2 linked regions of the Caenorhabditis elegans genome follow. The protein of the gene in region 2 interacts with the protein of the main gene of each other region in a pairwise test. Each region holds a gene or a part of one and is shown on either strand. Other genes may lie near its edges.

What was found. Proteins that work in one complex are often made in the same cells at the same time.
Region 1: the proteins of gcy-35 (region 2) and pdl-1 interact in a two-hybrid assay, tested with the Caenorhabditis elegans proteins (one study listed by BioGRID).

What each region holds. Positions count from the first base shown.
Region 1 is NC_003280.10:7,181,834-7,185,795, forward strand, and holds pdl-1 (Phosphodiesterase delta-like protein), read left to right. Parts: upstream 1-1,967; 5' UTR 1,968-1,991; coding exon 1,992-2,157; intron 2,158-2,176; exon of another isoform or gene 2,177-2,245; intron 2,246-2,442; coding exon 2,443-2,568; intron 2,569-2,585; exon of another isoform or gene 2,586-2,659; intron 2,660-2,668; coding exon 2,669-2,774; intron 2,775-3,244; coding exon 3,245-3,326; 3' UTR 3,327-3,461; downstream 3,462-3,962. Other genes in the region: C27H5.6 (G_PROTEIN_RECEP_F1_2 domain-containing protein), read right to left, coding at 3,534-3,599, 3,659-3,789.
Region 2 is NC_003279.8:13,323,660-13,328,250, forward strand, and holds the start of gcy-35 (Soluble guanylate cyclase gcy-35), read left to right. Parts: upstream 1-1,570; 5' UTR 1,571-1,702; coding exon 1,703-1,705; intron 1,706-1,960; coding exon 1,961-2,034; intron 2,035-2,642; coding exon 2,643-2,850; intron 2,851-3,525; coding exon 3,526-3,685; intron 3,686-3,832; exon of another isoform or gene 3,833-3,908; intron 3,909-3,947; coding exon 3,948-4,141; intron 4,142-4,310; coding exon 4,311-4,412; intron 4,413-4,453; coding exon 4,454-4,585; intron 4,586-4,591. UniProt on the Caenorhabditis elegans protein: Plays a central role in social feeding behavior and oxygen sensation by synthesizing 3',5'-cyclic guanosine monophosphate (cGMP) from GTP.

The DNA of each region.
Region 1 (3,962 bases), on a different chromosome or scaffold from region 2:
CTCTTGAAGATCGTATGTTGAATCCCGTGCAGATTTCATTTTGTAATTATTTCCCAACAAGAAATAACTAAAAGATTGTATATTGAATTCCAATAAGATTGACTGTGTATGACCAAAGTTTTAAACACGAATCAAGATCTCAGAGAATAATTAACAGTATTTTTATAGAATTTTTAACTTGCTACAAAAATTTGATTTCGATGCAATTGTTGCCCTTTGTATTTTGAAAGTATACTATTTTTGAAGAGAGAGGTAGAAAAATCTAAAGATAACATTGAAAAGTATTTTGTTAAGCAAACAACTTTCAATGTTTGAATGCTTGTTTTGTCACTTGGAGCTTGTATTTTGTAAATGTTTTCTGTAGTTTTGATTGAAAGCTTTTCCCATCTTCACAGACGATGTATTGCACAGTCTTATTTTCGGTAAAACTCAAAAACCCGAGGCAGAAACTTCAGGAGTTAAAAAATTAGACTTAAATATGTATAGAAGAAACATAGAACCTTTCGATTTGCTCGAACTCGAACTTCAAATTCTTTTTTTTTAACCTAGAAAATGTTAGAAAATGTTCGATGTAAACTGAATATGCACTGCACTTGTAACTGCATTTGTTGTGTGTGTGAATCACTTGGAAGTTCATGTAAATAACAGTATATAACTTCAAGGGTTATAAAAGGCACACCTTACATCAAAAATAATTTTCTTTTTTCCTGCTGTTGTGATTTTGCAATAAAATGCCCACATTTTCCAAACAAAAATGTTCTCAAAGTCTTAAACCCTGTTCATCAGCCACCTCGTGAATATACTTAACAATTCAAGTGACTCCATGACTCCGCCTACATTCGTTCCCTCATCTAGCTCACCGTTTTAACATTCAGACTTTTCTCATTTCCCTCCGATCGTCTTAAAATCCTTCTTCCTTTTTCTCTCCATTTCCGTCATTTTCGTCTTCTTTTTCCTTTTTTTTTCACAATTTTCCTTCTTCTTCTTCTTCTTCTTCTTCTTCAACTCAATAGAGCCTTTCCCTGTGTCTCTTTTTCTCCTTTCTGCCATCTTCACTTCTTTCGCATATTTCTCTATTTCTCTCATCCCAACGACGCGCTCTTTTCGGTTAATTTGGAGCTTTCTCCGTCCACCGCAGTCGGGGTTGAGCTGGGAGCAACGAGAAGGCCGTGAAAACATTGTGCCAGAGACTGCGCTTCCTCTAAAATTTCGTAAAAACTTTTTCACGCCTTTTCTATCACATCATCTCACCTCGTCTTGCCTCTTGAAATTGAATATGTTTTGGTCGACTTTTTAAATTTATTTATTTGCTTTCTTTCATACACACCAAAATTGTTTGGAAATTTTAATTACATGCAAAAATTTGCACATATTTTTTTGTTCTGTTTGTTTCAATTCCTACTTTCAATTTGTAGGTTATCTAAACGATACAAAATTTTCAGAATTACAAATAAGTTCAAATAATATTTTTTTAAAAATACATTTTCTGTTTAAACACTACAATCGACTATTTATGTAGATTTTCTGAAGAAAATTTTCTATTGCAATTTCTGCGTTATAAGTGCCCGACTTACTAGTCATAGCTTTATCTAGGGAATTATTGAAATAATATGATATTTCTCTAAATTATCACCTAATCCCATCCTGCTCAAACCACAGAACCGTCGAATTACGAAAAGAAATATATAAGCAGTAATATATAATTGTATGAATACGAGTTACTTCTCTTATTCTCTTCCCTTTTTCATAAAATGTAAGTGCCACTTATAACACGACTTCCTTTATGAATTCAATGATCTCCACGTGTTCTTTTTTTCATAATGACCACTCTTCGGGAACACTCATTTTTTATGCTCTTTTTCCGGCAATCGTCACTTTTCGTCAATATTGACTTTTCCTTGTTCCTAAGATGACCGGTTCCTCTTTCTTGTGCCTCGGTCTGTCGTCATTTCCTCAAAACATCACTTTCTTCAGAGAGTAGAGCTCCAGTCATGGCCACTACCGCTACTCGTCATCAAGATTCTAAATTGAGCGAAAAGGCAGAGAGCATTCTGGCTGGCTTCAAGCTCAACTGGATGAACTTGCGTGATGCAGAAACTGGAAAAGTTCTCTGGCAGAGCACAGAAGACATGGCTGACCCAAAAAGGGAACACAAAGGTAATAAGAATTTCAAAAAAAGTCTCGGAATAAACCAATCATCACAAACACTATGCCTGGGGCGGTAAGTAATATCGTCACTGACAACACGAGGGAACGAACGCGAGAGCGTCTCCCCCCAATGCGCGCGCACATCCACTGCGCCATTCTGCCACAGCTAGCAAGCAACACTGAGCGTGTAGTTAAGCCTTCACATGTCTTTTACCGCTGGTCTCTAATGCAATGCGTTTTTCCTACAAAAATAGAATTGCTTGAAGCCAACAAATAAAAACTAATGGATTGCAGCACACGTGCCAAAGAATCTTCTAAAATGTCGTACGGTGTCTCGTGAGATCAACTTCACTTCATCAGTCAAAATCGAAAAATTTCGACTCGAGCAACGCGTTTATTTGAAGGGAACCATCATTGAAGGTAAGATAGAATCACTCGAATATTCATTATGTTATTGCACGCAATGGATGAATAATATTGGCTTCTGGTGATGAAAACTAATTATGTATTCCGACTTCAGAGTGGTATTTCGATTTTGGATTTGTCATTCCTGATTCAACAAACACGTGGCAAAATATGATTGAGGCAGCTCCAGAATCACAAATGTTCCCACCATCTGTACTCAGGTAAGTAAAACAAGTGCAAAAGTACTAGATTTCTAAGCTTCAAAGCTTCACTTCAAGATACTAGAAACAGAAACATGCAAACCTTAATAGTTATTAGGTAAACATGACCGAGTATCGTAATCAAACATTTTTTATATCAGTCAGCGTTTTGGTAAATTGGCAAAAATTCAAAAATTGGGTTTTTGAGTAATTTCAAACATTGCTGTAGGATTTTACCAATACAGTGTTTTTTATAAAAATTAAAACAGACTTTCAATATTTGTACTGGTGAAAACTGAGTAATTACCGATAGTTTTTTTTTTGAGTTTTGAAACGTTTTAGTATTCTTTATGGTATGTAATTTTCGTACCACAGGAGATGCTGCACACCATCTTATATATAACTACTTAATCCTACTATAAAAATAACATTAAATTGTGTTCGAGGCCTTGACATTTCGAACGATTGAAAATACAATCTCAATTTTTCAGCGGAAACGTCGTCGTCGAGACTTTATTCTATGATGGAGATCTTCTTGTAAGCACGTCTCGAGTCCGTCTTTATTACGACTAATACATATACATTCATATCCATTTTTCCCTTCTAATCCTTCCCTGTTTCTCCATGGATCTCTCTTTTTTAATTCCTAAAACAATACATACCTAATTTTAATATTCAATTTCAGAATGAAAATCTTCAACGGATTTATTTATTCATCTATGTACATATGAATATATTTTACAAATTGAATAGCTCAGGAAAATTGTCCCAAAAATACATTTAGATTGCAGTGTTCACAAATGAAGCATTGACACGTGATAGCTTCTGGCGACTCATGTCGTTCGACTGAAAAATAGGAAGAACTGAAAATAATTGAAAAATGAAAGGACATGCATCAATCTTACCACAATTGTGTTTGTCCCGTTACGACGGAAACGGAGAAGTTCGTGGCACCGGCGACGGAATTCGAGACGGAAAAAGTAAAAGATGGGAAGGTTGAAACAAGATTGGAAACCATAGAGAAGATAGGCAACACCTGGAAACATTAACTATTTGAAAAAAATAATTTAAAGTTAATTCTTAATTAATTCTTAAGTTAATTAAGAATTAACTAGCTTTTCTTTCTAGTTTATATGTTATTATCTCATTATTCAAAGTGATATTGAAATGTTATTTCAGACTTCAATTTTAGTGTTTGACAGTTCATTT
Region 2 (4,591 bases):
AATTTTCGAAGATCAATGGGAATTTCCAATGAAGTTTTTTTTTTGAAAAAAAAATGATGGAAAATTTGATGATCTGTGAAAATCATTTTGAGAGAAGAAAATTTGTAGAAATGTTTTCAAAAAATCGGTTTTTTTCCAGAATTCTTGCAAAAAAAAATTTAGAAAAAACTTTGAGAAAAAATCTAAAAATTATTTTGAGGAAATGACAGGGGATTAGCATGCCGCTCCATCATTTTCTTCTCCAAAATAATCCTAAAATTAGTCCAAACCGCAAAAAACCAGATTTTTTGTCATTCTAAAAAATTGCGGGAGGCGTGGTGTCCTTTTCCATAAGCCTATACCCCCCAAACATCAAATTTCCGGTCGGAAGAGTCAGCCGACATTTCCCCAAATATATATGTGAATGAAAAAAAAAGTAGGGAGAATTGAATAATTCATGAGGCTGATTGAGAAACAATGGGGTGGGCACAGATAGATTTTCTGTTAATATTGAGAATCCAAACACAGGCAAAAAGCATAATGCGTTCGGGGGGAATCGAACCCCCGTCGAATGCTTGGAAGGCATCCATGCTGACCATTACACCACGAACGCGGTGATTCACGTTGGTTTCGGAGGCAAAGAGAAAATTGGGTAACATGGCAACTATATGATGAGAACATGTTGTTTGCCAAATCGCATGGATTAGGGGAGAAGCTTGAAAGCCGGTGATAAAAAGAGATATTGATATCACTTTTTTTCAACACAGGGAAAAATTATCAAAACATACGTTGGGCGTCTCTTTCTTCTAAAAATACTATAAATTACAAGTTAATCAAACTTTTAAGTCTAAAAAAAATGAAAACTTGAAAAACACATCAAAAATCAGTGTGTCTGATTGGACAAATTTGAGCCCCCATAGTCTTCCTGAATGCTCCCGCGGTGAGCCAACTCTGTCTGCGTCTCTCCGATCACCGTACTGTTTCATTGAAAGGGCACACGGGGGATATTGGTGGTGTGCTCATGAAAAAGAGCAAGGAAGAGACAGAGGGATATCCTGTGTGTGTGTGTGTATAGATATGATAACTGACTGGAGGTGGGAGATGAGTTTGAAGCACAAGTGTTGCGAGAGACAATCCCTGGATCGGTAGATCAAACCACGATTGTTCGGGTTCAAATTAGCCCCGCGCGAGTTAAAATTTAATTATTGAATTTAAAAATATTTGAAAATGCTTTTCAAATGAACTGTTTACTCAAAATCATGGTCTTGACACGATCGAAAGTTTTCAGCTACCGAATTATCTCTGCGTCTGTTGAACCTTCTTTCATAAACCCAATTTAGACCACCCGCACTCGCCGCGTTCGGGGTGTAATGGTCAGCATGGATGCCTTCCAAGCATTCGACGGGGGTTCGATTCCCCCCGAACGCAGATTTATTTTTTTTTCGTCTTTTTTAATTCAAAAAACCCATCAAAGTCCCTCGAAGACTGCATCGAACCCCCCAGAATCCTATCATCATCATAAATTCTGTGTCATCTCCCTTCTTCCATCCAATTTCTTCATGTTATCATGCGAAAAGTGGTTGTGACGAATGGCTAATGATCATCTGACACGCAATGGCTCCCCGCCACCCCGACTCGTTTCAAACTTACACCCAAAGTCTTCATATTTGGAATTTTTGAAAAATATATATTATATACGTTACTTTTTTGCGGAGAGTAGAATATGGTGAGTATTTTAAGGAAATAGATTTTTGTTTACTAAATTAAAATCACGTGGTGCCAGGCTGTCCCACTACGGTTTGATCTACAAAAAATGCGGGAATTTTTTTCTAAAAATATGTGACGTCAACACGTTCTTAACTATGCGAAATCAGTTGAAAACTCTGCGTCTCTTCTCCCGCATTTTTGTAGATCTGTGTAGATCAAACCGAAATGAGACACTCTAACTCCACGTGTAAAATTAATTTTTTTTAAATTTCAGTTCGGCTGGATTCACGAAAGCTTCAGGCAACTTGTCACAAGGAAATATGGAAAAGATATTTGGGAGAAGATCGTGTAGGTTTTCAAAATTTACTCTTAAAAGTCCGAAATACCTGCTTTCCTACCTGCCTGCCTTCAAGGCGGCCTACGCCTACCTCATGCCTGTCTACCGCCAAAGTGTCAACTGAACTTTTAATATATTAATCTAAACAAGAAAATGTTACGATGAGAATTGCGTCAAAGACCAAACTTTGGAGTCTGCATAAAGTAGGCGTGAGGTAGGTACGTAGGCACATATGAAAGCAGTTGTGAAGGATGCCTATTCGTCTACCATAGGAGTTTTGGAAATAACAAAGTTAGAAAAAATTTTTAAAATTATAGCATATTTGAAAGTAATTCTAGATGCTGAAAAAATGGCGAGGTTTCTAAAAACCTTTATAACTTTTTAGGTAACAACTTTATCGAAAAAATGTCAACTAACAAAACATAGCCCGTAAAATTTTGAACATTTTTTTAGTTAAAATTTTTTTAATATCTGCAAAACCAACAAAGTTACATGTGCGAAAAGAACAGCAAGGAGAGACGCAGAGAAGTCAGAGCGCCTCGTTTCTCTGCGCCCTCCCCGCATCACACACTCTCTCTCCTCTCCCTCACTCTCTTACTTCAAAACATCCATTATCCAGGCACATGTCAAAATTCGAGTTGGGAACTGAAAGTGAAATTGCTCATTATTATAATGACGATGAAACTCTGCGTCTTGTCAATTCAATGGCAAATGTGATTGGAATTCCAATTGAGGAAATTTGGGAGGCTTATGGAGGTTTTTTGATTCAATTTACAATGGAAACCGGATGGGATGAACTGCTCAGAGCAATGGCTCCGGATTTGGAGGTGAGAAGTGAACTCGAATTTTTTCAGCGCTTTTTTCACCATTTTTGAAACTCGTTTTAAAAAATTTTTGAGATTCAAGCTACCACCAAAGGGTCTTAAGTTGGTAATTTTCCTGGGTCTCGCAGGGAAAATGTGCAAATTTTTTATCACACATTATTTCTGAACACTTCTTGAAGACCCGTCTCATAACGTTTTGCTACGTGGCCTAGAAAAATAAAAAATTCGGTCATTGATTTGTCTTTGGTTTTTCAGATCTTTCTGGTTTTTCAGATCAATGCGTATCCATGTCTTGAGGGTGGCCGAGTTTTTTTTTATTTCACGGCAACGTAAGAAAAAACTCCCATGGCAGAGGAAAAACTCGGGCAGAAGTTTTTGGAACTTTTCCAAACTTCTGTAGAGAGCCTAATTTCCTATTTTTCTCGGCCACAGAGTTCTCCCTCAAAAACTTATTTATTACATGAATACATCAAAAATTTAAAGTATTTCCTTATCGCCCATAGATAAGTTATTCATTTTATCAAAATCGCCTGATCTTCGTAAATGTGATCTCTTTTTCACTAGTCTAGAAAAAGAAATGTGACTCAGTTTTCCAATCCCCAATTCAAACCTGTATATCTCTTCCAATTTTTTTACTACTAAAAATTTGTCAACTAACAAAATACTTTATGAATTCAGGGCTTCTTGGATTCCCTTGACTCACTTCACTATTTCATTGATCACGTCGTGTACAAGACAAAACTCCGTGGTCCATCATTTCGATGTGATGTTCAGGCAGATGGAACTCTTCTTCTTCATTATTACTCGAAGCGCAGTGGTTTATATCCTATTGTTAAAGGTACAGATGCATTTTTAATTGTACAGTGGTATATTTTGCGGGGGCGTTGAAATGTAGAGGAGACGCAGAGAAACGAGAGTACTCTCGTCGTCTGCGATCTCTCTCTCCTCCTCTCTAAAAACGGCTATAACTCTTTCAGTTTAGTTGATATCAAAATTATGTCAACTAACAAAATGCTCATCGTTTTATGCTCGACATTTTATCAGTTGACAACTTTTTGATAACTCAGACCACAGTATAGATAAACCCCTTCAACTTCCAGGCGTTGTAAGAGAAGTGGCTCGTCGTATCTATGACACAGAAGTTGTCATGAAAGTTCAAGAACGAAAACAGGAACATTTGGATGCATTTGTGACGGAACACGTGGTCTTTGTAATTACCCAAATTGAAAATGCTAACAGTACTCAGCCAAAATCGATTTCTTCAAAAGCTGACTCACAAATTGATTTATCAACGGTAAGGTTTGACATCTCATATCTCGGTTGCCGGTGGTCTGGGTCAAAAATTATTAACTAACAAAATGTGTGGCATTTATTTTACTATAATTTTGCTGTTTAACACTTTTAATATCTTAAACGGTAGCCGAGATACGAGCTGCTAAACCGAGCAAGTTCTAATTTTCTAGGGAATCTACGAGATCTCATCGTCCGACTTTTCCTTGGCATTCCCTTATCACATTTGTTTCGATCCTGACCTTTTCGTCGAGCATTTTGGAAACTTTATCAAGGTACCAATAACTAGGCTTCTAAAATTTTCAAAATTGTTCAGAAAACGTTTCCAAATGCGATGCGCCAAGAGACACGAGTCACTGATCTTCTAGAGTTGGTGCATCCGGAAGTTCCGTTCTCTTATGAATCTATCAAATATTATAAGAATTCACTTTTTGTGTTCAGATTGAAGGTAGGT